3 linked regions of the Diceros bicornis minor genome follow. The protein of the gene in region 3 interacts with the protein of the main gene of each other region in a pairwise test. Links are inferred from orthologs where the notes say so. Each region holds a gene or a part of one and is shown on either strand. Other genes may lie near its edges.

Region 1 (10,798 bases), on a different chromosome or scaffold from region 3:
TTTCTCTGTCTCAGCCTTATCCTGGGGGTGTGTTCTGCCTCCAACGATTAAGGGATGGTGGAGAGCAGGGACCAGGCCTTAAGTTGTTAGCTGGACCTGATGTGAAACAGGATAATATAATGATAATCACAACTGGCACCATTTATTGTCTTCTTCCTGTGAGACAGGGCCCATGCTAAGCATTTTGCATGGATTGTTTCTTATAATCTTTGCAACAACCCTATGAGAGAGGTGCTATTATTATCCTCATGTTTAGGGAGGTTACAAGACTTGCCAAGGTCACACAGCTGAAGAGCCGGCACTCAAACCCAAGACCGTCTGACTCCAAAGCCCTTGACAAGACCACAGTGCGTGGGCAAGCCACCCAGCCTTTCTGGGTCTGCATCTCCATAACCTCCCTGCGCCAAAGGAACCCAATAACTGTTCGTCCCTCCCATTAAAAATAACCTCTGCTTCCCTTTCCTGCCTCTCTCCAGCATCTTCCAGCCCCCAGCAGGGTGTCCCCTTCCTGTAGAATCCCCCTCCCATCTCACGAGGTGGTGGATTGTCTCTCACTTGTAGAAGCTCACTTGCTGGCTGCTGACACTTCTCCTCCAGCTCCTTGACCTGGGCCCCAAGCCGGGCCACCTCCTCAGAGACCTTTGAGATGTACTCGTCCCTCTCCTTCCAGATCTGCCGCTCCAACTCCCTCAGCCTGGCCAGCAGGAGACATTGCTGTTCCCCCAGCTCCTGCTGCAACCTCTCGAAAGCTGCTTCCACCTGCTGTTTCTTGCTTTCAATCTGAGTCTGCGAGTGGTGGAAAGACAAATGTGGTTAGGGAAAAGCTCACAGAGCTGGCTTCCAGGAGGATCATCTATATACTTACCATTGATTAAGAAGGATAGGAGGTAACTAGTTCCAAACTCTTTCTCCCAGATAATACTCTGGTAGAAGTAGGTAGGTCTCAGAATAAACTTATCAATGATGAGGGCTATGCTCTTGTCTTACCTAGAGATTCTAATAATAATGCCACATTAGGTTCTCAGAGCCATGTTGAACTTTTTAAACATCCTTCACATCTCTGATATCATCCTAACCCTACCAATCCTTCCCTAGAGTCAGGTGGAGGTGATTATAGTCATGTCTTAGCAATTGAAGAGAAAGTAAGCTGTGATTAGAGTCAGCACAACTTATTGGAAGAGTGCGTAGCATTGGTCTTAGCCACTGAAGTCGCCACCTACAGGGCATACTTGGATGGGAGTTGAGGAATACTGGAGAGACCTTCCCGTCCCAAAACTCTGCCGCTTTGGTCAAGGTACCAGAAATTCCCACACTGTGGATTTCTTCCTGGATAACTTTGTAGCATGAAAAAAGAGATGGGAAGGAGCCAGATATAGCCACACCATTAGCCTACTGTCCTCGGAGTCAGCCTTGGGGTCAGGACTGGAATGCAGACACTAATATATGCCTTCTGGACCCAAGCTTCCCATCTGTAGGCCACAATTTCAGGCAGACAGGCTGGAATGGGAAGAGCAATGGACTAAGGGTCAAGAGACCCAGGTTCTAGCCATTTCATCGTGATCCTGGGCTTTGCCATGTGGCCTTGGGAGCATCACTTTCCTGGACCTCAATTTTCTGCTCTGTAAACAAAATGGCTGACAAGATGGATCTGAGATTAGAAGACGTCAGAACAACTTTCGGCTCTGATGGTCTGGCATTTCACAACCTTGACTCCAAATGCCCGTGTGCAGAGGCAGGGAAGTGAATGATAACAGCTTGCTGGTTCTTTCCAGCCAGGCAACAGATACCACACAAGAAGCTTTCCCAGAGTCTATTAAGAATACCCCCAAAGGAGATGGTGGCCAACGACATGGTCTTTACCAGGAGCACATGGAGCTTCTGGTCTTCCCGACTCTTTTTGTCCTCAATCTCATCTCTCTCCACGCTCAGAGCTTCCAGCCGACTCCTGAGACGATCCTATGGGGAGAAGAACGGGCAGAGAGAGGTGACTTCATTCATAATTCAACTCACAGATATCAATTGTCTACCATGTTCCAGGCACACTGTTGAGTGCTGAGGAATTCAAAGGTGAAAAAGGTGCAGTTCTTGTCCCTAAAGAGATCATCATTTAGGGAAGAGGTTTGTCACAAGTGATTAAAATACAAATAGACAAATGCAATAATCGAAGTGGGCACACAGTGAGATGGGAGCACAGAGGAGCAGACAATTCTGCCTGTAGGGTCAAGGGAAGGTTTTAGAAATCAGAAAATATTTGGAGTGGGCCTTCAAAGGTAAATTTCCAGCTGAGTAAGAGAGGGGGAGGACGGTACTTAATGCCCCTGAACTTAAAAATTATTAAAATATTTAAAAAGAGAGAGAGTGAGGGGGGAGAGTGGCATTCTAGGAGGAAGGAACCACATGTGAAAAGTATTAGAAGCAGGAAAGAGTAAAACAATTCAGAAGACAGCCAGTCCATAGGGGTCAGTCTGGCTGGACACATGGTGCCTTGGGGAGGACAGCTGAGAGATGAGATTGGACGGGAAGGCAAGATCCCAACTGCAAACTACTGTAAATGCCTTGTTAAAGATATTGAACTTTCTTTGGGTGCTAGAGATCCTTGGAAGGATAGTAAGCAGGGGAACATCATGATTGGCTTTGTGTTTTAGGAAGATCTACCTCGTAGCAGAATGGCTGGTGGTTGGAAAGGTGAGAGTGGACACAGGGAAAACGTTAGAGATCATGCAAAGTCTGAGTGACAGATGGTGAGAACCTGGATTTGGCAGTGGCTGTGGGGACAATGCAGAGTTAAAAATTTGAGAGATGCTTCTGAGGAAACCACTTCCAGACTTGGTGACTGGATGACAAGAGAGAGATCTGAGAGGCAGACAGGAATGGATAATGTCTCCTAGACCAGATAGGCTAAGCCGCACCTCCCTTTTTCAAAAAGAAGAACAGCACTTGCAGGTTGCCCTTCCCGTCCCTCTCTTCCCTCTGAGCCCCAGAGGTCAGGGCTTTGGTAAATCCCATATCCAGTCTGGATACTGGGAGACCAAGTTCACCCAGCCCATAACCTGCAGCAGATCCTACTCTGCACTGGGGCTCTCTTTCCTTCCACAGACAGTGAAGCCATGGCCACGGTTCTTTGTGCTCCATCACTGTGGGGCCCCTTGAGGGCTGGAGCTAAATTTCCCCCTAAGACTGTGAATGACCACACGGCTTAGTGGAACTGTGTCCCCCTCAGTCTGGGGCTGTCTCCAGTGTCGCTGCAGCCTTGGGGTACCCTGATATGGAAGCTGTGGCCCTTCACCCAGGTCCCCACCCCCTTCCTTCACCACGACAGGACACTGTCCCACCCTAAACATGTCCTAGCTAGAGCCACACTTCTTACCCGGTAGGGCTGAATGGCCTCGTCGAGGAAGCCCACGGTGTGGGCCTGGTGAGAGGGACCCTCACGGCAGAACACACAGAGTAGCTCAGCATCGTTCTCACAGAAGAAGTAAATCTTCTCGCCATGCTCCTCGCAGTAAGTCTCCCCCAGAGGGCCCAGGGGCACTGGGACCATGACAGTCTCTGCTCGCTCCTTCTCCTTGCAGAGGGGACAGAGCAGAACCCTGCCGGAAGGCTGGGCTCCCATCTGGGAGGGCAGGGCGAGGCACAGCCGGCAGAAGGTGTGTCCACAGGTGGCCGTCACTGCATTCTCCAGGGATCCCTTGCAGGCAGGACAAGAGACCCTCTCATGGGAGGGGGTTGAGGGCATCACGGTGCCTTCCCCAGCTGGTCCACTCAGGCCTCTGTCTCAGGCCACATGAATTCTCTTTCCCTGAAATTGAGTCACTTTTACATGAGTCACAGAAGGAAAGCAATAGGAGATCAAGAGAGAGGAAGCAGGAATGTCCGGACAGGGAAGCCACCTGGCTCCACCTCTTGTGCTTCCCCGGAGTCCTGGCCACCACCCATCAGTAGAGCGGGTGCAAACTCCAGGGCTTCTCAAATTACCCAGCATTTCCCAGTAGTGGCCTTGTCAGCCTGTTCTCCACTCCTTCTGACTCCTTCTGACTCCTTCCAGTCCCTGGGGTGGGGAGCAGAGCATGCCGTGAGGTCACAGGGAGACAGGGCTTCCTGGAATCCCTCCCTTGACCACAGTGGGGTGGGGAGAGCTGGGTAGGATATGTGTCTTCCTGTTCAATTGAGCAGGTGGGAGCCATAAACTTCTGGCTTTGAGGTGTGACCACAGTGACAAAGTCCAGGCTGGAGTGGGCAGTGACTGACTTCCGGCAGACTGTTCCGGGGGACCTGCACTGCAGGTCCACCGTGGGATGATTGCTCGTGAGACTCCCTCCTCTGCCCTCCTTTCCTTGCCTCACCTCATCTGCCCAGGCTGGTGTCTCCTAAACTCTGAACTCCCGCCACCCCCCAGCGCCAGTGTCCCCACTGGAGTTTGGATAATGTACCATGATGCAAATGATTCATGTGGATAAACAAAATTTAGAAAACTCAGCCAAGAAGATAAACAGACTCAACCACATTTATCTAAGGCTGAGTATTCTCATATTATGACATCCAATCTGATAACAGCCTTTGAGGCAGGTATGACTACCTTCATTTTACAGAGAAAGAATCATAAACTGAAAGGTAAAGTGACTTCCCCAGGTCACAGAGCTAGAAAGCCGCAGGTTTGGGTCAATCCAAGGTTGCCGGCTTCCAGCCTATGCTCTTCCCGAACTCCAAGCCAAGACAATGATCAAATAGCCACGATTCTTCATCCACTCACCTGCATCTGTGGATAAGACCAAGGAGAAACTCCCATTCTCTCACCGAAGGATCAGCCCTGCACCCGTTTTCCCTCCCCTTTCACTTCAACTAATTTGTCTATCACCTTCCCTTGCCACACTATCTGCCCCCGACCCAAGAGTGCATCCCCTGGGGCTACGCTGTCCAACACAGGGGCCTCCAGCCACATGTGGCTGCTGAGCATTGAGACGTGGCCAGTCCCCACCGAGACGTGCTGCCTGTGTAAAATACACCCCAGATTTCAAAGACTTAGCACCAATGAAAAAGAATGTAAATGCCTCATTACTAATTTTTTATACTGATTACACACCGAAATAATCATCTTTGGGCCTAAATAAAATATTAAAATTATTTTCACTTTTTACTTTTTAAAATACGGCTACTAGGAAATTTTAAATTGCATATGTGGCTTGCATTATATTTCTCTTGGACAGCACAGCTCTAAGACAAACAGATCTGAGCGCAGATTATGACCACCCCCTTCCTACCTTGTACCCTGGGCAAGTTAAATAACCTGGCTGAGCCTAGCTAATATCCTAATGCACCGACGTTATGCAGCAGACAGGAGGAATAAATAAGATCACATGTTTAAGTTTCTTACATCAGTGTGAGGAATACAGTCATCATAAACAAGAGTGAGCTGTTGCTATTTTTCTTTCTCCTCCCCCACACAGAGTATATTCCAGCCTCTTTGGAAGCCTTGGGCAGGCCGGTTGGGGCATGAAGTGAAGTTGACTGTGCCATGCTCCCTGGGCACAACCACCTTATCTGGGTCCCCACACTTCCCTGGGCTGGCTGATATCTCCAATCTCCCTGGAGACAGCTGGTGATAGTGCAGGGAGGCTGAGTGGCATCACTGCTCTGTGACCCAGTCTCCCTCCTGCCCCTGAAGGAAGAACGACCTCGTTCAACTGTGGACAGTTAAGATACCACCACTTTCCTTCTGCTGTGAGTGTCTCTGGACGGACTGGAAGGAACGGTGAGCCCCAGGCCATGGGCACCAATGGAAGAGTAGCTGAGGTCATCTCTGAGATGCTGTGGCCCTGCTTTCTTCCTTGCCTACTTCCCCTCCTCTGCTATTTCTCCATCTCTGCTGTTGGAGGGTGTGTGTCTGTCCCTTTGGGAGGAGAACAGCAGAACTACGGCCGCCAGAGAAGCAAGTGGGAGCCATGCCCTTGCGCATGTGTGAGTGTGTGTGTATGACTATGAGGTTGTTGGTGTGTATTTAGGATGTGCCTGTGTCCAGCTGCGTGTACATGTAGGTGTGTGAGTGTGTGATGTGTCTTCACTGTTCTTCCAGCCCTTCTCCCTCAGCCAAGCAGACTGGGTGACCTTGAGGAGGCCACAGGCACAGCAGCACCATGGCCTCGGCCGCCTCTGTGAGTAGCCTGGCAGACGAGGTCAACTGCCCCATCTGCCAAGGCACCCTGAGGGAACCGGTCACCATCGACTGTGGCCACAACTTCTGCCACAGCTGCCTCATCCGCTACCTTGAGATCCCTGCCCCAGAGGCTGACGAGCCCACCACCTGCCCACTCTGCAAGGAGCCTTTCCGCCCAGGGAGCTTCCGACCCAACTGGCAGCTGGCCAGCGTGGTGGAGAACATCGAGCGCCTCAAGCTGGTGTCCATGCCAGGCTCCGAAGAGGAGGACGTCTGCCAGGAGCACGGGGAGAAATTCTACTTCTTCTGCGAGGATGATGAGATGCAGCTGTGCGTGGTGTGCCGGGAGGCGTGGGAGCACCGAGGCCACACCGTGCGCTTCCTGGAGGATGCAGCAGATCCCTACCGGGTAGGAAAGGGGGGTTCCCAGGGTGGGTCTGGGAATGAACCAGACTAAAAGAATCAGAGCAGAGTTGTGGATGATTTGGCCCACTCTGAAGCCAAATTCTGTCTCCCTACTTCTATCATCACCCAGGCAATAGACCCAAGCATGGAAGATTATGTGTTTGTGTTTTAAGCATTGTGTTATGTTGTTTACATATGACCAACACATAATAAGCACTCAATAAATACTTGTTGAACGAATGAGTGACCAAAACATGAGTGTATGTGTCTGTGCAATGGATCAGTCAGGTATATCTGAGGAGGTCTGAGTTTGTATTTGAGGGAATGATTGCACAAGTGGTGTGTATATGTATTAATGTTTGTATGTTTGCCAGTGTGTGCTGGTACACACTGGAACCTTTGGTAGAACTTTGGGGGAGGTCTGACTATTTGAGTGTGTAAATGTAACCATTGGAATGCTCGTGTTTGTGAATAAATTACCATTTACATATATGCAGTTTGGGTAGATTTATATGGTGTGTAATTTTATCTGTCATTAAATGAGTGTGTGCTGGTTTTAGTTGTTTATGTGTTGTGTTTTAGTACAAGTGGGTGTCTATGTGTATGTGTCAATTAGTTAACAAGCATTTGATGGTGAGAGTTCTAAATGTATTTTGGAATGTACCTAAATGGACATTTATGTGAGTATACCTGTGCCTAACTCTATTCTAGAGCAAGCAACTTTTAAAACAATTCATTGATTATTTTTGCATTTTCCAAGTTTCTTCTTCCCTCCAGAATCATACATAGAAAATTGATTCAATTCACAAGGGAAAGTTGTTTGGATGTGTTCCCTTTGGGACATGTGAGAAAGTTGGAATAATTTCAAACAAGGGCCTCTGAAGCTCAGGACAGATCCCAGATATCACTTACCAAAGGCAAAAGAAATTAGGATGTTTAACTGAAGAAAGGAAGGCTCAGGTGGGAACATTGAGTCACAGCCTGTGATGGCACAGGATAAAGGGGGAAAGCACTGATCAGAGTTCTTGGAGGACAAAGCAAAGGAACAAGACCCAAAGAGAATAAGCTGTCAAGGGTGATTAAGGCCCAGGGAGTGACTCCTTCCCTTGGGTAATTCCATTTCTGGAGGCAGAGGGTTGGATGAGACGCCACCCCCTGACAAATCATTGTTTCCATCTTAAATATTTTATGCTCCTTCTCCACTTTATGCTCCTTTTACTCTCCTTCTCTCCAGAAACAGATACAGAAGTGTCTTGAGAGTCTAAGAAAAGAGAGAGAGGAGATTCAACGAATCCAGTCAAGGGAAAATGAAAGAATACAAGTCCTCCTGGTAGGTCATCATCCCTTCCCTGTGCACCCTCTTCTTCAGGTCCAGGGCTTCCCTGAAACAGAGGCAACATAGCACATAGGACTTTGAAGTCATTCTGAGTTTAAATCCTGACTGACACTCAACTAGCTCTATGACCTCAAGCAACTCTCTATCCTCAGTTTATTTATCTGTAAAGTGGAGATTAAAAATCGTCACTACCTCACTGAATTGCTATAAGGATTGAATGAGACGGTGCCTGCCATGTAGCTTAGTGCCATGCACATAGTGTGCATTTCATAAAAGGCAGGAGCTAGGGTGTCACCACCACCTCTCCTACACCTCCTCTGAGCCCCACCCTTTTAGAAACTCCAGCAGAAGGTGCCGAGGCAAGGCTGGGCGGTCTAGCTCCCAGAAATGGCATGACAGGTGGAAAGGAAACCGTGCTGCGTTTCTAAGTCTGTCTGGGGACCCAGGGGGGTTGGGCGGGGGGCTCTGATTTTACCACCAGACCTTGGAAGATCTGGGCCAGGAGGGAGATGGGCATGAACTAAGGAAAAAGGAAGAGGAGAAGGAGGAGGAGGAATAACTTCCTCTCACCCCCTCAGACTCAGGTGGCCACCAAGAGACAAAAAGTGATTTCCGAGTTTGCACATCTGAGCCAGTTCCTGGAGGAACAGCAGAACATTCTCTTGGCCCAGCTGGAGACGCTGGATGAGGACATCTTGAAGCAACGGGATGAGTTTGACATCCTGATCACCGGGGAGATCTGCCGGTTTAGCACTCTGATCACAGAACTGGAGGAAAAGAAAGAGAGGCCGGCAAGGGAGCTCCTGACGGTGAGACCTGAGCTACTGCCCACCTGTGCTCGCCTCTATTTTACTGCGTCTCTATCTAGTCTAACCCATGCCTCCTTCACTCACACATCTCTGTATCCCAAGTGGAAGCTGAGTCACAGGACAGAAGTTCTAAATTCTTGTCCTCGCTTCCTCAAGAGTCCACTGGTCACTTTGCTCCCTGGTCTTGGTCTCTCTGTGCCACCATCCATCAAATAGGGAATACTTTCCTTAACTACCTCACAGGGATTTTGTGAGGATCCTACAGTAAGATGGAAGTGAAAGTAGCACTTTGAAAAGCCTCATGTACTATGCAAACAAATGTCAGGTGCTATTTCCAAGGTGAGCTATTCTCTGTGTCATCATCCACCAGTCAGGAAGCTGTTCCTGGTCTATTTCACTTCCTCACACTGGAGGAGAGATATTGGGGTCCCAACAAGGCATCAGGAAGGCAGCGTGATTCAGGGGAACACAGTCAGGGCTGAGAAATAGGAGACCATGGGATGGGACTAGCCTTTGCCTCCAGCTAGCAGGAGCAGGTCACTTCACATCTGAGTCTATAAAATAAAGGGGTTGGGCTCCACGATCCCTGAAGCCTTGTAAACCCTAAAACTCTGTGACTGTAGGATCTGGTGTCCTTCTTCTATCCAGAGCTAGGAATATGATATTTTGTCTTTTCTAGTTATAAGAAAAGTGGGATGGGGAAGGTGGAAACTGAATCACTGCTCTCTCTCTCTTTCTTCTAGGATATCAGAAGCACTCTAATAAGGTAAGTGATACGCTTTTTCACTTCTCTTTTCCCACATACATGCACCACATGCCTAGTTGTTGCCATGCAAATATACAACATTCTCATTTTATTAAAGATAAAAATTCACACATAAGCTTTCACATACTTGAATGCATTCCCTTGTACAGCTGTAGACACACTCCTGCATAGCGTTGCCCAGGAGTGGGCAGGGAGGTCCATCCTAGAGCAAGTCTGTCTGCCTGTGGGAACTGGCATCTCCTTGCCCAGTGAGAAGAAGGCAGCTAGCTGGGTCTGGAGGCATTGCTGAGGAGGATAATTCCCCGACCCTACCATTTGTGTGTCCCTAGGTGTGAAACCAGAAAGTGCCGGAAACCAGAGGCTGTGTCCCCTGAGCTGGGCCAGAGGATTCGGGACTTCCCCCAGCAGGCCCTTCCGCTGCAGAGGGAGATGAAGGTGTTTCTGGGTAAGAGGACCCCACAGGGCACAGGTGGTCTTGAAGCGTGGGTTTAGGAACGGCCTCCATGCTAGGCTGCCCGATGCTCGTGTGACTTTTGGCAAGGCTTGTACCCTTCCCGTGCCTTGGTTTCCTTATTTGCAGATCTTTATAAAATCTACTTATCAGGATGATGTGACAATGAAGAGAGATAGTAAAGGTGAAGATTTCTGGAAAAAAATTGAGCTGATTTGAAAAATAAGTAAATAAATAAATCTGATCAGTTGGCATTAAGCAATATAAAAGATAATGATTAACAAAATTTGTCATTGTCAATAATTTAAAAAAAATCCACAGAGGCATTTGTAATACATGATAAGTTTTTGACGATGAACACTGTTAATTAATAACCAGCAAAAGTAGTTCTCTTTGCCCTGTTGGTCACTGACTCCTCTCCCTCCTCTTTTCTCTCGCTTCCCCCCTGTTAGTCTGTCTCTCAGAATTGGACTGCCTCTGTGTGGACTATGCCCTCCTTTTCCGGAGCAAGGAGTGGTGGCGGGAGAGGGTGTGGAGGTTTTGAAAGGAGAGTCATGAATGTAGCTCTCTGCCGACACCCTACCACACACATGACATCATGAACGATGCCACCTACTTCTAAATGACCCGCCCACAAAAATGTCTCCCTAGAAGAGCTTTCCCCACAAGTCCACTTCCTGCAAGTCCTCCCAGTGGCCTGGCAGTGAAGGAAATTTTACTCTAATCGAAGGCCAATCTTTGACTATCCAAAAAATTATTTCCAAGCAGAATGAGAAATAAATTAACCCACTTATCTGTTCGTTAAGTGGATGTTTCTTGAGCATTTACTATGTCCTGGGCTCTGTGTGAGGCACTGAGGATACAGAGGTGACCAAGGTAG
Region 2 (10,154 bases), on a different chromosome or scaffold from region 3:
GTGAAATCAGTATAGAAGTAATTTGGGAACTTGAAAATGGCATTCATTTTTTTCAGCAGATGCCAAATTTTTGACCGACATGGCTCCCACAATTACTTTGTTACCATCAGTCCAGTCAGTTAACAGGTTGTAGGAAAAGATTCGTTTTTGTAGACACTGCTAAGCTGTTTAAAGAGAAGAGAGAGAGATTAATTTAGTGATTATAAAATGCACAAATATTTAAAATATTTTGAACACTTTTTGTTGGATTATATCAGAGGTGTGACTACATCTTAACAAACGTGGACTTTTTAGTTAAGTCTGGTCAAGGAAGTGCAGAACAGTTAAGTCAATATGATAGAAATAGTAGGTCAATATGATGTGTTAGTTCAATTAATGTATGAAAACCTGTCACCATCAGAAGACAAATATTAAAAAGCTACATCTTTAATCTAGTTATGTATCATTGTGCCATAGAGGCAAAATTAGGAAAACAAAAAAAAAGGTTCCCCAACTACTAAATTGTTTTTATCCATTACAGTAAATAGAGCCAAACCTGAAAATTTCAAAACAAGCCATATTTCAGAAATCTCCTTTATCCAACTACTACTCATTCAGAACACAATTTTCTAAAAATAGTAAGACAACAGTTTCATATTAATCATAACTTTTTTAATTAGCAAGTAGTGAATAGGACACTTTTAAGGTATAGTTTACTACATACTGAAATAAACAGATCTGTTGTAAATTCAGAAACTCAAACGTTTACAGTAAAATGTGCTTACACATAAATATGACCAAATTTATTTAAAGCCCCTGTTAGAAAGATCCTAAATACATGCAATACCATGTAAAAACAAGACCATGAAGTTGATGTAAAAAATGACAAAATCACTAAGTCACCAAAAATTAGAAAAAAAAGAGAATGATATGGAAACTAAGAAGACAGTTAAAACATAAGGAACCTAACAAAGCAGCTTTAAAAATAGGCGATACTAATCTCCATTTTCAAAAGTTCTTAATCAAGTATTTCCAAAAACTGCCATTTATAAAATGACATTCTAAAAATCTACACTTGGAATTTCAAAGCATCCCAATTCAGAAAGCTCTGACTACTGTTTCTCCCCAGCCCCAAACTTCAAATAATGCAGGAAAAGCATTGACATTAGGAAGGAAATATTCCAAGGGAATGGTATAATTGTTAGAAAAACGCACTTACTGCTTCCAGAACCTTTTAAGACCCACAGTCAGCATTAACAACAATCATTTTTCCTATTGTCATCCATTATTTTCCAATGTCATGTTAGAGATGAATAAATTCTTTGAGCCCATAACTGAAAGATCAACAAACCTGGTTTTATTATGACACCGTATTTTTTCATTGGTACTGCACAAAATTATATACAAAGAAATATATACAAAATGTTCAAGTATTAATTAAATTTCAATTCAAGGCTTCTGTTTCAAAAAGCTACATTTAACATATTCCATAAAGATAGCACAAATTAGTCATTTCAAATAATTTTTCCAACTACTTTTGGTTTATATATATATATATATATATATATAATTCAGTAGGCACTAAAAATCCATGCAGCTGCATTGTGAGGGGCTTGCTCCTGCACTTAGGTATAAGCAGGTTCATCACTCCAGGTTGTGAGTTTGGCTACTACCCATTCATGCTCAAGTGCAGATGATTTTACAAAATACACTGTGATGCACTGGAAACCAGAGACCAAGTTAGGTCTCAAATCGTATTATCTAGCAACAAAACATTTACAGTTGTGCAAGAACAAGGATTCCATTTTCATAACCAAATAACAACAAAATAAAACATTTTATGTGTAAGATAACTTACATCTTTGGACTGCTGGAAAATACTTATTATGGACATTTTAAAATAAAAGACAGCAGAAGCCCTGATATTACCTCTTTTTCCTCATTTCTTATACTACCTTTTAAAATAAAGCAGGAAATGTGGCCAGCAGCTGGTCCCGTCTCTTCTGCCCCAACAGCTGTATCCACTTTAGCACAAAGAAAAACAAGGATGCTAAATACGTATATACTTTATCAAACAGTGATGTTTCACAAAGAATTTCTTAATGCCTGTTACACTGAAGGACACCGTAACTCAATTTATACAACTGGACAATAGATAATAGAGTACTTCAAGGGGAGAATATGTCCCATGTTTGGAAAAAGTGTCCATCGTGTCATTAAGTAGCCAGAACCACTCAATTTTTAAAATTATTTTTAAATAGAACAAATACCTTTGAAATATGGAGAATAAGATTCTTTGTGAAGCCTCACTTTACACGTTTTCATTCACATTTCACAACCTTCAATATCTAATCATACATAAATTTAACCTAAAATTTTAATACAACAAAAATAAAGGTGTTCAACAATTTATTCATACTCAGTGATAGGGTAATCACTGTGCTGGTCCTCAGAGAAACATTTCATTAACCATTCTTATTCCTCCTTCAATTAACTAACACAGGAATCTGATATGCATATTAATTTCCAATTTCTCTAATGGTGAGATATTACAATCTGTTAATCTGAATAGATTGTATTTCTAGATTTTCTACTGAAAACTAAAAGGCATTCTTGAATATTTAAGAGATTTTTGTCATCTCCAGCAAAACTATCACATTTGCGCATGCCCCAAATACTTATTGTCAACCTCTGAAAAGTTGCTCTAAAATTGGAATTCCAATTTGCACCTTGTACAACTCGGAACTTCCATTCAACTTCACCTGTGTCACTGTCTCCAAACTGTATCTCTATTAGCAGCTTTCAGTGTACAGTTGGAACCGATGTCATCCAAGGCCATGTCCACACTGGGGACAGAAGAGCTAGGTACACGCAAGTCTGAACAAGGGGACACATTAACAGCTATTTTAACCAGAAGAAGCATCTTAAATACATTATTGACCAGCACAAGTCTGTTTCCAGGGTGGACAGGGCCCAAATTAGATCTCCCTCCCACCTTCCAAAAAAGAAAAAAAAAAAAAAACCACACACACACAAATTGAGATGTTGCCCATTAAAGTAGACTAAGCAGCAGAGCATGAGCGTTACGTGAAGAGATGGATCCTTACCAGGTTGTGAGGCGGGAACGACTGTTCTGTAACCCCTACAACGGAGCCTGGCAGGAAGGAAATCACCTAAAAAAGAAACTGTCAGAGAGATTTAATAGTCACATGTTATCATTAGGAGTTGGTTACAGTGTCACATTCATGCTTTTAGCTAAACACTTAAAGATTCAATATTACTTTTTTTTCCTCCTCTGAAATGTGTCCAGTGAAGATGTCCCACTAAGGTGTTTTACATGGTGTAAGGGAGTTGAAAGGGGTAAACGCGGATAAAGAGCAGATTACTTGACCCTACATTTTAAGAGAAGACGACGCCTTCCGGGCGCACGCCGAGCAGAACTCCACCGACACCTTATCCTTGTCCACATGAAGACACACTCCTCCCGCCGAGTCGTCCTCTTCCAGCAGGTCCTGCTGCTGCTTTCCCACCGGCAGAGCGTAGTCATGGTCACCGGCGGGCGAGTCTCTGAAGAGCGAGGTGGTCAGCCGCAGTCCCACGCCGCTCAGCCGGCTCAGCAAGCGAGCCAGTCCGGTCTCGTTGGCTAAGACGGCCCGTAGGTAGCGACTCTCCTCCTGCAGTGCCTGGACGCGCTTGCCCAGCTCCCGATTCTCGGCCCGCAGCTCCTGGTTCTCGGCTGCCAGACCCCGGACTCGACTCTCCAGCCCCATCACGTACTCCTTCTTCTTCAGCCGATTAAGACGGGCAGCAGCCGCCGCCGCCTTCCGGGGACTCTTTGTCGCCGCCTGGTTGTTGTCGTTGCCGCTGCTGCCGCCGCCGCCTCCTGGGGACTTTCTCCGCCTCTTTTCACCGCTGCCACTGTCACTGCTGCTGCTGCAGCCTCCGATCCCGTTTAACAGCCTCTGCAGCAGGTCAGAAAAGCGCTGCATCTCGGCAGCCGCGGCCTCGTCGTCGTCGTCCCCTCTCCACAGGCCGCCGCTATCCGAGCCTCCGCCGGACGAAGAGAGAGGCCCGGGAGAGCTGAGCCCGGGCTCCAGGTGCCAGTCCGGTTGCCGGGGGTCCAGCAGATCCGCCAGTTCCAGCCCGGACAGAAAGTCCATGTCCTCCGTCTCCTCCCCGGGGACGCCGGCGATCGCCTCCTCCTCCATCTCCTCGGGCGAGGGCGCGCGCACGGCCACGCCGCCGCGGCTCCCCCTCCCGGCCTCCAACTCGGCCTCGTCGCCGCGCGGCTGCCTGCGGCCGGGAGATCCGGCCGCCGCCGTCTCTTCCTCCTCCGCCGCCGCTGCCGCCCGGGTCAAGTCCGGGGGCAGCGAGCAGGTCGCGGCCGGCGCCGGGCTCTCGCTGCGGGTGAGGGAATCGCTGCCCGAGGCCGCCAGCAGTTTGGTCAGGCTATGCCTCATGGGGCCCAGCAGCGGGCCCACGTAGGCCCCGGCCTCTCAGACCGGGCCTCGCGGGCCCCGAGGACCCCAGGCCCCAGCGCGGGTAGCCGGGGAGCTGGCCAGAACGAAATGAAGAGGAGGGTCCGAGTCGCCTCCCGCCCCTCTTGGCTGGTCGACCCCCCGCGCCGGGGCGGGGGGAGGGATGGGAGATCCGAGCGGCGAAGCCAAGAGATGACTCGGCCGCGCCACCCAGACAACGGCCTGGCCGGAAGTCGGTCGATCTCGCCCCAGCCCCTCCTATGGCGTTTCGCGCGCCACCAGGCGCTGGTATCGCGAGAGTTAGGAAGATCTGAAGTGGGAGTGATTCCAGGTCTCCAGTGATGTCATAGTAACAGCGGCAAAAATAACAACAAATCCCAGGTTTAATGAGTGGCCTACCCTCTCAGCTCTAACTTCTCAACTCTCTATTCTGGCTTCCACTTTTAGTGAAACCACTCTCGCTCAGAATTGATCTTTTAGATACCAAATTTATGAATAGTCTTAACGTTATCCTGGATTTCTCTGGGATATAAGACTAGCGATCAGATCCCGCTTAAAATTGCTCCTTTTCCCTTCCGTTATAATACAGTACCTTTTCATTCAAACACTTACAGAATACTAAAAGAAAAGAGAGGTAAATAAGTCATTGATACATAATTTAATATTTCCAAGTTTTCCTTATAAAAATTTCCGAACATACAGAATATGTGAAAGAATAGTACGGTATCCATTCTAATTCAACAATACTAGCCAATGCTCAGGCTCCACAATTCAACAATTAACATTTTGCCATATGTGCTTTATCTGTATATAAATGTTTGTAAAATATATATATATATTTTTTTTTTTTGCTGAATCATCCCAAAGTTACAGACAACACACACCACCCCAACATACTTCAGTATGCTTCTCTAAAAATAAGCACATTCTCTTTCATAATCATAATACTATTATCAGGCCTTGAGAAAATTAACAATCATTCGCTAATATCTATAACCCATGCTATATTCAAATTTCCTCAGCTTTCCTCAAAATAATCTTTCATAGGGAATATTGTCTTTTGAGCCAGGATCCAATCAAGTGTCACTTACTGCATTTGGTTATGTTTTTGTGGGTTTTCTCCCCCATTTCTCAAACTAGAGTAGTCCCTTTCACTTTTTAGTTTTCCTTAATATTGGCTTTTTGAAGAGACAAGGTCATTTGTGTTGAAAAATGCACCACATTCTGGATTTGTCTGTTTCCTCATGGTGTTATCTTGTTCCTCTAATCCCACGAGGTATTTGAAATTTGAACCACTTTACAAATACATTAGAATACAGTGAAACAAAACAATTCGAAGTTTTAAAAAGCAAGGCCAGTGAAAATATAGATGAAATAGGAAGATAAGGAGTTCCCAAAGGGAGAGAGGTTAGTATTGGAATAGGATGGACATAAAATATTACACAGTTACTCAAGTTGAGCTAACGATAGACTGAGCTTCCTGGCAGGCCAAACAACAGAGAGAAACAAACTTTCCTTTGTTTGCTCATGAGTAAAGTATATATGAATTCTTTGACTACTTTTCCAGTTCTTATCTTAAAAAAACTTCTCTATGGGATACTGAATAAAGTAGCAGATAGCCTCAACAATAGATATTGTCATAGGGCTGTTTCTTTAGAAAGCAAGTTCCGGGAAAGCTGGACACAGATTAGGTCCCAAATATCCAGAACAGTAGGTAAGTACAGCTTAGGCTTCAATAAATATTTGTTGAATGAGTGAATGAAGAAGGTCTCCAGTTTTGGCTGAAGGCATAACACTAAAACTCAGCTAAATGAAAACAATTATGCAAGAGGCAAATATAAGTATGTCCTATGGTATCTAGAAGAATAAATAAATAACCTCCATGTCGTGCTTGACTTTCCCATTAGGAAAAGTTTTGCTAAAGTAGAACAGTACACAGTTCAATGTGATCAGTGTGGCCTGTGTTGAGTTGCAGGTGTTTTGTGTGGCTGGTAATCCCATCAAACTGCATTTTCTCCTTAGGCAAAATTCAAGATCATGGACTGATTTATTACATTTTTTTCCTAGATTACAAGATTTTGATTTGACTATACATGGCTTAAGAGCCTCTGTGGTTGGATTAACAGAAAAGTTGAAAACTGAAAGAGAAGGAAGTTTTTACCAGGTAGCCTCAGAAAAAAAAGCAAGTGAAACAAGAGTAAACCTACCCAAAATAGCTCCCCCCCTCTTTGCCCTTTCTCCCTTTTCTTCTCCTCAGTCTTCTCGCTCTCTCCTTCACAGCTGTTTTTTCTTTTTCTTGTTATAATGGTCATTGCAAAAGATTCACATAATGCAGAAATGGATAGAAGGATATTACCCACACTCTACCCCAAAATAACTGTTATTAAAATTTTGGTGTATAATATAAAAAGTTTTTCTATGTACAGACACACCGATTTATTTTATTTCTTTGAACTCTACTGTTTTGGTATGCATATATTGTGTGCATTTTGCATGCAACTAAATATAGATCCACATACTAATATTTGATGACTGTCTAGAATTCCATTTCATGAACTTCCTAACTTTTATTCAACCAGTTCCTCATTGATAACACTTAGGTTGTGTTGAATTTTTCACTATTATAATCCACATGATAATGTTGTACAAACATCTTTGGTCACTTATCCTATAACTTCCTTAGCATAAATTCTTCAAAGTAGAATTTCTGGATACAATTTTTGTACATAGACCATTATTACCTACAGAAAGGTATCTCTCATTAATGGTATCTGACAGTATTTAGTTCCTACCCACTCAGTGACAGTGGATTCATTCTTTTTAAAATGTGTCAATGCAAAAATAAATAGTGGTGGGCCGGGCCCGTGGCTTAGCGGTTAAGTGCGTGTGCTCCGCTGCTGGCAGCCCGGGTTCGGATCCCTGGCACGCAGCGACGCACTGCTTCTCTGGCCATGCTGAGGCCGCGTTCCACATACAGCAACTAGAAGGATGTGCGGCTATGACATACAACTATCTACTGGGGCTTTGGGGGAAAAAATAAATAAAATAAACAAATAAATAAATAGTGGCATCTTTTTGTGTGAATTTGCATTGATTATTAGAAGTTTGAGTGTTTTTCACATGACCAATTGACTTCCAATGTGAATAGCCTTCTCACCTCTTGAGCCTGTTTTTCTTTGAAGTGGAAGAAAATGTTTGTCAAGGAAAATTTGTCTTTTTCCTTCTTGATTTATATGAACTCTTTGCATTATAAGGAAAACATACCTTTGTGTCATATATGTTCCAATATTTTCCCCTGTTGATCATTTATTGGGAGAGGGAAGGAGTGAAATTGCTTCTTTTGCTATAATTTTTAAATAGTCAATCTTCAAAATTTTCTTCATGGTTTCTGGCTCTGGTGTTAAGCCTAAAAAGAGTGTATTGGCCTAAATAATACTAATGTTGACCTATATGTTTTAGAACTTCTTTAACTACTTCTATTTATATTTTACTAAGAGTTTTTAACAACATGAGTGATTACTTATTTCAATTAGATCCAAATGGAATTTATTCTCTTATAAAATGTGACATATGAATATAATTTTTCAAAAACTTATCTGCCACAATGCAATTTATCGGACGATCCATACCTGCCCCACTGATTTCCTAACATGTATGCCATATATTAAATTCTTACGTATAGTTGGATCTATTTCTGGTCTTTTTCTTCTACTTTGTTGATCAGTCTAACCATTCTGGAAGCAAAATCACTCCATTTTTATTGCAATTTTATAATATATTTTAATATCTCATAGGACAAGTCCTTCTTTGTTAGTCTTACTTTATCAGAATTTTCTACCTATATTTAAATATTTATTCTTCCAGATAACTTTATAAAAATTTTCCAAGTTCAAAACAAAGCTGGAGTTTTCATGGAAATTGCATTAAACTTATTAATTTATTTTTCCCAGTTATTTTATGCATTTTTTGCTACTGGACTAGATTATTTCTTCTTTATATTTTCTAAATGACTTTTGCTGCTACATAGGAAAACTGTTGATCTTTTTTGTTAATTTTTAACTGATTACCCCACTGCACTTTCTTACTAGTTTTTATTTTCAGCTTATTCATTGAGATTTTCCTGGTAGACAATTATATCACCTTATAATATATGATGACAATTTTGCCTCCTTCTCTGCAATTCTTATTTCACTATCTTGACTAATAATGAAATAGCACTTCCAGATTGATGTTAAATAATACCCTTGATAGCCAACTTGCTTGTCTTATTCCTGACTTTAACAGAAATGCCTCTAGTGTCTAGCTGTTGATTTGAGATGGGTATTTTTATTAGATTAAGCTCAACTGCAGGGAACAGAAACCAATTTAGCTATTTAAAGCATAAAAAGATGTAAGACAGAGAATATGTGCTTACAAAGTCATTGGAAGGATTGGAGGAGTGGACATTAGGCTGGGTGATCAAGAATGCTTCTCAGTGCAACATGGCCAAACAGGCCTCGTAGGGAGCTGCTATCTCTGCCCCAAATGGGAAAGTGGTAAAATAGAAAGCTGGAATGTTGGCTTCAAGAGCACTGCTGCTGCCCAAACTCTCAACCCCATGTATTAATTATCTATTGCTGCCTCATAAGTTACCCAAAACCTTAAAACAACAATAAATATTTGCTTACTGTTGTGGCTTAAAATGACAATAAAAATTTATTATCTCTCAAAGTTTCTGTTGGTCAGAAATTTTAAGTGCCTTGGCAATGCAGTCTGGCTCTGGAATTCTCATGGAATTAAGTCAGATTTTGGCTGGGGCTGCAGTTATCTGAAGGCTTGACTGGGGCTACAGGATCCACTTCCAAGGTGGCTGACAGGTTAGTCCTGGGGGAAGCCTCTATTCCCCACTCCATGTGGGCCTCTCCATAGGCTGTGTGAATGTCTATACTGGCTTCCCCCATTGGCTGGCTTCCCCCAGAATGAATGATCCAAGAGGCCAAGGAAGCAGCAGCAATGTCTTTTATGACCTAGCCTCAGAAGTCACATACGATCACTTCTATAGTATTCTATCAGTCACACCAGTCAGACCTTACTCACTGTGAAAGGGGACTACACAAGATGTGAATACTAGGAGACAAGAATCGTTAGGTGCTATCTTGGGGGCTGGCTACCATATCCCATAAAACTAGTCAATGAATATTGGGATGCTGTTGCAGAAAAACCCGATGTCTCCAAGAATGTGCTTGGCAGCAACAACAGCCAAAGCAGAGGGAGTGGGCCCCTGCCTCGTTTGCATCTTCCAAATATAACTGCAGAAGAGTCTGGCAAATATAGTTTGCTTTTGTGTTTCTTTTGTTTTAGGTTTTCCATTTCTGCAATACTGGAAAGCACATTAAAAGAAGGATTGAATAGATGATGAGTACCAACCTATCAAATCCTCCACAAAGACTATGACTTTATGGTACTTCAACACCAATATATACATTTATTGAATTTTCTATAGCAGAGAGCTGGAGCCAAGATGGTAGGGAATGCAGCTGAATCAGGGTTGGTGTTTTACTGAGTGGATACAGCAGAATGATAAGAGTGCTACAGAGGCCAGAGTGCTCATTTTAACGTAGTTTGCCTGTTCGCTCACGATGTATAATCTGTAGAGGGTAGGAAGTTAAGACCATGAGGGGATCTTATGCCTGGGTGAAAACTGAAGACTCAAGGGAT
Region 3 (9,902 bases):
CCAGACAAAGACAATACAACGAAGGAAAATTACAGGCCAATATCGCTAATGAACACAGATGCAAAAATCCTCAACAAAATATTGGCAAACCGAATACAGCAATACATTAAAAAGATCATACACCATGATCTAGTGGGATGTATACCAGGTACACAGGGATGGTTCAACATCCACAAATCAATCAATGTGATACACCACATTAACAAAACGAGAACTAAAAACCACATGATCATCTCAATAGATGCAGAGAAAGCATTTGACAAGATCCAACATCCATTTATGATAAAAACTCTCAACAAAACAGGTACAGAAAGTACCTCAACATAATAAAGGCCATATATGACAAACCCACAGCCAACATCACACCCAACGGGGAAAAACTGAAAGCCATCCCTCTGAGAACAGGAACAAGACAAGGGTGCCCACTTGCAACACTTTTATTCAACATAGTACTGGAGGTTTTGGCCAGAGCAATGAGGCAAGAAGAAGGAATACAAAGAATCCAAATAGCAACAAAGAAGTGAAACTCTCACTGTTTGCAGACGACATGATTTTATATACAGAAAACCCTAAAGAATCCATCAGAAAACTACTAGAAATAATCAACAACTACAGCAAAGTTGCAGGGTACAAAATCAACTTACAAAAATCAGTTGCATTTCTATACTCTAATAACAAACTAACAGAAAGAGAACTCAAGAATACAATCCCATTTATAATCGCAACAAAAAGAATAAAATATCTAGGAATAAACTTAACCAAGGAGGTGAAAGACCTATACAATGAAAATGGTAAGATATTATTAAAAGAAATCAATGATGACATAAAGAAATGGAAAGATATTCCATGCACATGGATTGGAAGAATAAATATAGTTAAAATGTCCATACTATCTAAAGCAATCTACAAATTCAATGCAATCCTAATCAGAATCCCAATGACATTCTTCACGGAAATAGAACAAAGAATACTAAAATTCATATGTGGCAATAAAAGACCCCGAATAGCTAAAACAATCTTGAGAAAAAAGAACAAAGCTGGAGACATCACAATCCCTGACTTCAAAGTACACTACAAAGCTGTGATAATTACAACAGCATGGTACCGGTACAAAAACAGACACACAGATCAATGGAACAGAATTGAAAGCCCAGAAATAAAACCACACATCTACACACAGCTAATCTTCAACAAAGGAGCTAAGAATATACAATGGAGAAAGGAAAGTCTCTTCAATAAATGGTGTTGGGAAAACTGGACAGCCACACACAAAAGAATGAAAGTAGACCATTTTCTTTCACCAGACACAAAAACTAACTCAAAATGGATCAAAGACTTGAAGACCTGAAACTATAAAACTCCTAGAAGAAAATATAAGCAGTACACTCTGACATTGGTCATAGAAGGATCTTTTTGAATTCCATGTCTATTTGGACAATGGAAACAAAAGATAAACAAGTGGGACTTCATCAGACTAAAGAGCTTCTGCAGGGCAAAGGAAACCAGAATCAAAATGAAAAGACAACCCACCAGCTGGGAGAAAATATTTGCAAATCATATATCCAACAAGCGGTTAATCTCCATAATATATAAAGAACTCACACAACTGAACAACAACAATAACAAAAAAACCCAATCAAAAAATGGGCAGAGGATGTGAACAGACATTTTTCCAAGAAAGATATACAGATGGCCAATAGGCACATGAAAAGATGCTCAACATCACTAATCATCAGGGAAATACAAATCAACACTACACTAAGATATCACTTTACACCTGTTAGAATGGCTATAATTACCAAGACAAAAAATAACAAACGTTGGAGAGGCTGTGGAGGAAAGGGAACCCTCATTCACTGCTGGTGGGAATGGAAACTAGTGCAGCCTCTATGGAAAACAGTAGGGAGATTCCTCAAAAAATTAAAAATAGAAATACCTTATGATCCAGCTATCCCACTACTGGGTATCTATCCAAAGAACCTGAAATCAACAATCCAAAGAGGCTTATGCACCCCTCTGTTCATTGCAGCATTATTCACTACAGCCAAGAAGTGCAAGCAATCCAAGTGTCCGTCGACAGATGATTGAATAAAGAAGATGTGGGGGGCCAGCCCTGTGGCTTAGCGGTTAAGTGCACGCGCTCCGCTACTGGCGGCCCGGGTTGGGATCCCGGGCGCGCACCAACGCACTGCTTCTCCGGCCATGCTAAGGCCGCGTCCCACATACAGCAACTAGAAGGATGTGCAACTATGACATACAACTATCTGCTGGAGCTTTGGGGGAAAAAAAGAGGAGGACTGGCAGTGGATGTTAGCTCAGAGCCAGTCTTACTCAGCCAAAAGAGGAGGATTAGCATGGATGTTAGCTCAGGGCTGATCTTCCTCACAAAAAAAAAAAAAAAAAAAAAGATGTGGTATATACATACAATGGAATACTACTCAGCCAGAAAAAAAGACAAAAATAGTCCCATTTGCAACAACATGGATGGACCTGGCAGGTATTATGCTAAGTGAAATAAGCCAGACAGAGAAAGACAAACACCATATGATTTCACTCATATGTGGAAGATAAACTTAACACACAGAGAGAACAGTTTGGTGGTTACCAGGGGGAAGAGGGTTAGGAGTGGGCAGAAGGGGTGAAGGGACGCATTTATATGGCGACTGACAAACAATAATGTATAACTAAAATTTCACAATGTTATCAACTATTATGACGTCAACAACAAAAAAAATGTAAATCCAATTATGTCTCCTTCTCTCTCAGGTAAACTCGCTCCCTAGTGCACACACATCCTACTAAATAAACCCTTTAAAAGCCTTTTAGAAAATCAAACTCTTAACCAGGACTTCAGGGGTCCTCACTATCTGTCCCCACCTATTTCTCCAACCGTATCTGACAGCACACTCCCCGGCTTCTCACCAAGCTCCTGGGCTTTTCTAGCCCTTGACAGTGTGAAAGTCTTCACAGCACTTGGCGCTCTCCTTAACCTGGAAAGCACTGTCCCATCACCTTGCAGGTTTCAAGGTAAAAATCACTTCCCTATCCCAAACTAAAGTATTCTCCTGTTATTCTTTCAGAGAAACCCAATTGTTTTTCTTTGTAGGACTCCTCACAGTTTGTAATCTATATATTTATTGGTATATCTGTCTATTGTCAATCTAGCCAAGCGACTGTAAACTCCTGAGGGCAGAGATTCTGCTGTTTTCTTCACTCATGTAAACCAGCCTCTGCTGCAGTATCTAGCACAAAGCGGGTCCTCAAACACCTGGTGAATGGATGAAAGGAGGACACGTGAGTAATACTGCAAGAGAGATTTTTTCATTCTGTGATCTAAGGTCGGCTTGTAGATGCTACATACTGAGTGCTTATTATGTGCCAAAGATCCCTAATCCTTCCAACTCTGCATTGCAATAGACGTTATTTGGCCAATTTCATAGATGAGGCAACTGAGTTTCTCAGGAAAAACCTGCCAGAATTCCTACCCAGGTGGACGGACTCCAAAGCCTGTGCACTGCCCTACAATGTAGCCTTTCCCAGCCCTTCAATGGGGCCTGTGCTTCTTCCTAGTATCATTTAAGTGGCAGGCAAGCTTATAAATTTAAGACTACAAAGCAAAACTATACCCAAAACCCATCCTCACTGATGGGAGATCCAGTAAGAGAATTCAGTGTAACCTGATGGCTTTCCCTCTGAATTCGGATGGCTGAAATTAGCTGCCTTTAAAATATCATGACACCATGTTAAAATGCATCTTGCTACAAACACTATTTGGGAGATAAAAACTACAAAATGAAATCTGAAAGCTGCCAATAATAAATAATGCTAATGGTTTTCCAATATGCATTCATTGGCAATCTACAGCCTGTACCAGGATAATTTTCTTACACAAATTCCCTTCTCTACCTCTTATCTACAGTTAAAAGTAAATGGTATACTTAATATTAACTGTATATAAATGCACTTCCACAATCGTTTTCTGACAGGTAAAGACCAATCCACTTTATTATTATTTAAAACAAACAGACCCTTCCATCTTAAGAACATCCCACACATTTTAAGCAGGACTGTTTTAAAGGAAAGGAGTCTCTTAAACTGACTTTAGTATTTAATTCAGTAGAATATCCACTCCAATTTCCTAATATTGGAAATTAGAGAATTAAAAACTGTATATTAAAAGCATTTGGTATTAAAAGCATTTGTAAAAGGTTATTTTCTCAGTGCTAAGAAGCGCTGGCAGAAGTCTTAGGCAAAACACATGCCCTTTCGCCCGAGTTAGCTGAGCACTCCGGTCGCTACAGTTTGGAAGCAGGGAGCCCAGTGGCCAGGATTTCAAAGACCAGATATCGGGATTCTCCAGTACCGGAGGGCGAAGAGGGCCCGGCAGCTGTGGCGACCCGAGGCCCAGACGGGCCCGCTCAGGCCGAAGCCCACTCGCCGCGACACGGACGCTTTGGCCACACTCGACCAGGGGGCCGGGGACGGGCCATGGGGCCTTGCCACGTGAGCCACCCGACGCCACGGACGGCCGCACTCACCTCGGCGCCAGCGGAGCCAGCGCTCCGGAGCGCAGGTGGCGCTGGACGGCGAGCCCAGGGACGGCGGGCGGGGCGGGGCGCCGGGCGGGGGGCGGGGCGAGGCGCGGGTGGCTAGGAGCGGGGCGGGGCGGAAGCCTTGGAGAGGGAGACGGAACCTCGCGATAATTCTCCCTTGTTCTCGCAGTTTCACGATAGGTCGGACAAGAGGCTCGTTTTCCAAGACATGTCCCTATTGGCCGAGAGCAAGGCTTCCTCCAGACGGGCTCCGCCCATCGCTCGACCCTTGCTTCCGGCTGTGGTTGGGAGCTTGCTGTGTGGAAAATCGCCTTCTGCATAGTCTTTTGAGGGGATGATTTAGCCGGCCCCAACCTCAGAAACCGCCAGCACCTGATGTGTTTTTTCATTCATACGTTCGTTCAGGCACTCGTGCTCTCATTGGTCTCGGTTAAAGCATATGTTGAGGGATTACAATGGCAATAACACCCGAGCGCTTATTGTGTACCAGGCAGCGTTCTAAGAGCTGTGCATAGATTATCTCATTTAACCCTCACGCAATCCCGTGACACAGGTACTGTTATTATACCTTTTTGCCGGATGAAAAACTGAGGCCCAGTGGGTTTATGTAATGTGGCCAAGGTTGGTTAGTACGTAGCCTAAGCACAGGATTTAAGGGCTCACTGCGCGCTGATAGGGTTCCACAGCTGAGGCGGTGACAAAGTCTCTTGCTCTTGAAATACCTAAGGTCAATTGTGAGAAACGATCACTGAAAAGGGCAATAACAACTTAGTAAGTTAAATATTATGGCAGTTAATAGCCTGACTGAGTAGGACGTCAATATTTCCTGAGGATGAAAATTCCTTAGTCAGCGGAAAGAGACGTCAAAGGAAGAGAGCTTTATGCTGGTAAAAAGAAAAAAATACCAAGCATTGTTAGGGAACATTTAAAAAGCCAAACTTATTTTTTAAATACCTTGTTGGTTAATATGGCAACTTTCTTTCTCAAGTGAAGTTTGTTTATATTAATTTTCTCTCATGAAACTGCTGTTATTTATTGTTCTTTGAAAAGCTTGATTAATTTATTAACGGTTCACTGTCAAGCAACCTTAACTTTATAACTAGTTTCGCGTTGGTTTATTTAATTACTGTTAGAGATGAATAACCTAAAAGGCAGAGTTATACTAAATAAAAATAACGCCTATTCCAAAACAGGGTATGAGTTATAACGAAATACTTACCAATTACCTATTTATTAAACCTGGTCTTCAGAAGTTGATGTATATGGCATGGCATATGTCATGTAGTTCTAGGACCTTTGGTACAGGTTTCTAAATACCTAAGAATTTGTATTACTTAGAAATTTTTTGCTAGACGTAAAATGAGGAGACCTGTAGTTTGTAAAGAACTTTCTATACAGTTTGTAAAGAAAAATCTTTAGGGTATTAAGAATCAAGCCAAATAATAAGACTTGCTCCTAATATTGAAGAGTCACAAAAAAAGGATTAACAATAGAACAATACTTTTTTTAAAGTAATGTTAGCCTCTTAGTTTTCATTTCTTAAAAAAAGAAATATTTTAATGCATTAATTAACATCCGATATTTGATCATGAAAAATGAAGCATACTAGGGACGGCTCCGTGGCGTAGTGGTTAATATCGCGCATTCCGCTTGGCGGCCCCAGGTTCGGGGTTCGCAGGTTCTGATCCCCCCGCGCAGCGAGGCACCGCTTGTCAAGCCATGCTGTGGCGGTGTCCCATACAAAGTAGAGGAAGATGGGCACAGATGTTAGCCCAGGGCCAGTCTTTCTCAGTGAAAAGAGGAGGATTGGCAAGGGATGTTAGCTCAGGGCTAATCTTCCTCATACACACAAAAAAAGAATCATACTAAAATAACTTACACCCCCTGAAACTGACATACAGTAGCCAAGTGATTCTGTTAGTATAGTATCCTATGACCACTCTTAAAAATTCTCTAAATTTGTCTAGTGTCAATTTTCACATTTTGCCTCACTCAAAACAAGGCGGAGGGGATTCTCTCATTTAAGCTAGTGATTTTGCGATCTTGGACAAACTTGAACATCAACAGGCAGCGATACCACTTTAAGAAAATTCCAAGGAAAAGACAACCCCATTTTAAAATTCCCACCCCTGGCTCCCAAGGATTGGGTTACAAACTTCTACAAAAGACTCTTCTCCACTCCCTATTGGTGCATGCTCTATCATTCATTCTTCTGCCTGGAGTTTTGTGAGGTACCTGGTTGCTTTACGGGAAAAGGCTGCTCTAATTTAGTCTGGAACTGCCCTACTTGAGACTTTTTCATAGTTATCGATCTGTACAAAGAATCACCAAACTGCTAAGGGAACCAATACTGGCAAATCAGGCTGCCGAGACAACTGTGTAATTCGCTCGAAAAAGAAACGGAGAACTTCTCAAGCATACAGGGTAAATTTTTGACACGGATTTTACGACACGGAGATATGAGAGTTAAGGAAACTTTTCCAATTTTTCGCTAGTTTTAAAGGAGTAAGTGTCAAAGGAAAACCAGATAAAATAAGGGCACAATCTAAGAGTGGCAGGAAGACGAGTTTTCAGAGGGTGTTTTTCTTTTTAGGGTGAAGTTGGAAGAACATTATTGTTGGATTAGCAGTGGATTTTTGAATGGTAAAGGGAACAAGGTAATAAGATTAATTATAGATTATTTTATATTCTAAGAAGCTGTGGTTTGTTCTTGCTTTAATATGCATTTAAAGGGACACAGTAATGTTATTTGTAATTATCAAGTGGTGGATATTTTTGTTTACATATTATCATACCTAGCATAATAGACAATCCATCTATTAAAAGATATAAGAGAAAATTAGAATCATCTTTGGATCCAAATTTTGTGTATATTTTTAGATTAGGAGATCCAGGGACAGATCTGCTAATGACCAAGCGAAACATAATGTTGGTATATGAAGCAGAATCAGTAGGTAATTAATGTAAGGATAAATTTTCAAAAATGAAATCCTGCATTTATATTTTCAAAAAGATATTTTCATTAAAACTAAAATATAAAAGTTAAGGAAAATATTGATAAACAAGAATAACATATATTAAAACTTATATTTGAAATAGCAACATAATATTTTTTTAGGATCCAGACCAATATATAATTCCAAAATATAACATCTTAAGGATTCTTCAAACATTAATTCAATTAATAAATATAATACCTAGTGGCACATGTATACCTCTACAAGGCCTAACCCATAGTGGGTATACAATAAATATTTCTTAAGGGGCCTCTGTTAATCCATGTTTGTGGATATAAAATAATAAAATACAGTCTCTCAAGAAGCTCATACTCTAACTGGGAGAATGAGACTCAAAACATTTAAATGAAAACTTTTGGACAGTTCTTAATGCATACATGACCGTTACAGATCATACGTGCTTCAGGTGCTCAGATCAGTGTGAGCTGAAATAGAGAGAACTTCACAGCAGGGTTCAGACCCAATTTGGGCCTGAGCAATGGGCAAAGTTTCAGTAGATAGAAAAGAAGGGAAGTGGCATCCCAGGTAGTGGGTGAGTTGTTAGCAAATATGTGCAGCCTAGAGAATAATTGGCTCTGACTGCAGCAGAAGGTTGATTTGGGGACTTTAGTTTAAAAAAAAGCATGAAAAGTCACATGAAAAGTCAAAATTGCCAGAATTAGGGAGTTTGGTGCTGGGTTTTGAACAGGAGGGAGACCTCATGCAAGTAGTATTTAAAAAAGATAAAACTGACGCAGTTTGAGATGGCTCCAAGAGCAGAGACTGGAAGCTAGCTAAGGGGCTAAATAGTGATAACTAATAACTACAAATAATGGAGTACATATTGGTAGTAGCCTCTTAAGACATTTTATCCTAATAACTTTACTTTCGCCTAGTTGAATAACATCAATCTTGATGCATTTCTTTCTATTCTTTTAAAGCATTGAGCTTATTTTTTTGTTTAGCACTACAAATACAAATTTTATTAGATGTGGCAGTGTTATGGTGCAATTAAAACAGTAAAAGTGATTGTTGTTCACATCGCATCAGTCCTTGCTCCTTTTCCCTCCGAATTTCATTGTGTTTCTTCGTTCTATTTAACTGAATTGAAGGAATTTCAACGATAATAACAAAAAACCCTTATGAGGGAAGAATGCCATGGGAGGATGGAAGATGTTCTTGCCCAGACTGTAGGCTTTCACCTGACCTGTTTCTCTGAGACAAAACTCAGTTCCATACACTCAGTGAGCTGCTACCATGTGCCGGATACTATCCTCAGTGTTGGGCAAACAAAGGTGAATCAGGACCATCTCCCAAAAAAAGCAAAGTGATTCAGGGATACCAAGCAGGGTGTCTCTAGCTTCAAAACTTGCTTCAAAGAATCTGAAGCTCATCTAGCCTAAATTGTTGATCAGTGGTTCTTAATTAGGTAGATGGAGAAGGAGGAATCTCTGGCTGTGGAAAAGAACTCTGAAACAAGGCTCCCTGATGTGGTAGATCGCAATGCTCACCAAATAATTCCATTTACTCCCCTGGATACCTAGCCCTCTTTGCAGTTAGGGGAGCAAATGAAATGTTAGCAGAAGTGACTTGTGTCACTTCTGGGCAATGGCATCCACAGTTTTCCAATCTCTATTAGTCCACTATGACTCTTGTTTATGTATAGTTAAACCTTGGTCAGCCTGGGTCTCTGAGAGACTGTGGGTCAGACATTCCCACTCCCCACCCCCATCTCCAACCCCTCTCCTAAACCCTTGGGTCTGTAGTGTGTAGGAGCTGGTGTCTTACCTCATTACAGCCTCTTCAATCCTGACCACCTCAACTGTTAACAGCCTTTCCCCTGGGGATATTGGTATTTCATTTATTTAAGATTTCTTAAGTTAAAAAAAAAAACACCCTAGTCAACTGAGTTGCATGTATCAGGTTGATGAGACGTTTGGGGGAAAATTACACTATAAAGATGGTTTAATTGCTCATCCAGTAAACATTTATTGAGGCCTACTAGGTGCCAGGCGCTAATGCCATGTGACCCTTCTATTTGTAGAGCCAGAATATTAACTTAAGGTTGGTGTTCAAGATTTTGGGGGCCTCTGCCACATTGTCTTTAGGAATCAGGGCTGCCCTAACTTATAAAAGTCTTGCAGTCATAAGATGTATAAAAGCTAGAATTACACATAAAACTGCATTGTGGTTTCATAGCTATTTTTTAACAGTTTTAGTGAGGTATAATTTACATACCACAAAATTCACGCATTTTAAGGATATAACTCAATGATTTTTTAGAAAATTTACAAGTTGTGTAACTATCACCACATTCCAGTTTTAGAAAATTTCCATCACTCTAAAAGGATAC

Evidence for each region. The genes of interacting proteins can lie anywhere in the genome.
Region 1: the proteins of TTC23 (region 3) and TRIM10 interact in binary tests that used the Homo sapiens proteins (3 or more experiments, as listed by UniProt). The two-hybrid records come from large-scale screens. The link is inferred for Diceros bicornis minor from reciprocal best matches to the Homo sapiens genes TTC23 and TRIM10.
Region 2: the proteins of TTC23 (region 3) and CREBZF interact in binary tests that used the Homo sapiens proteins (3 or more experiments, as listed by UniProt). The two-hybrid records come from large-scale screens. The link is inferred for Diceros bicornis minor from reciprocal best matches to the Homo sapiens genes TTC23 and CREBZF.

The regions. Positions count from the first base shown.
Region 1 is NC_080753.1:35,797,400-35,808,197, forward strand, and holds the start of TRIM10 (tripartite motif-containing protein 10), read left to right. Parts: upstream 1-6,131; coding exon 6,132-6,560; intron 6,561-7,790; coding exon 7,791-7,886; intron 7,887-8,470; coding exon 8,471-8,701; intron 8,702-9,444; coding exon 9,445-9,467; intron 9,468-9,796; coding exon 9,797-9,912; intron 9,913-10,798. Other genes in the region: E3 ubiquitin-protein ligase TRIM15, read right to left, coding at 556-786, 1,861-1,956, 3,368-3,736. UniProt on the Homo sapiens protein: E3 ligase that plays an essential role in the differentiation and survival of terminal erythroid cells. May directly bind to PTEN and promote its ubiquitination, resulting in its proteasomal degradation and activation of hypertrophic signaling.
Region 2 is NC_080746.1:46,858,395-46,868,548, reverse strand, and holds the start of CREBZF (CREB/ATF bZIP transcription factor), read right to left. Parts: upstream 4,668-10,154; 5' UTR 4,440-4,667; coding exon 3,376-4,439; coding exon of another isoform or gene 3,372-3,375; exon of another isoform or gene 3,165-3,371; coding exon 3,149-3,164; 3' UTR 1,935-3,148; exon of another isoform or gene 637-1,934; intron 165-636; 3' UTR 1-164.
Region 3 is NC_080744.1:82,145,670-82,155,571, forward strand, and holds the start of TTC23 (tetratricopeptide repeat protein 23), read left to right. Parts: upstream 1-4,915; 5' UTR 4,916-5,106; intron 5,107-6,805; exon of another isoform or gene 6,806-7,210; intron 7,211-9,902. UniProt on the Homo sapiens protein: Participates positively in the ciliary Hedgehog (Hh) signaling.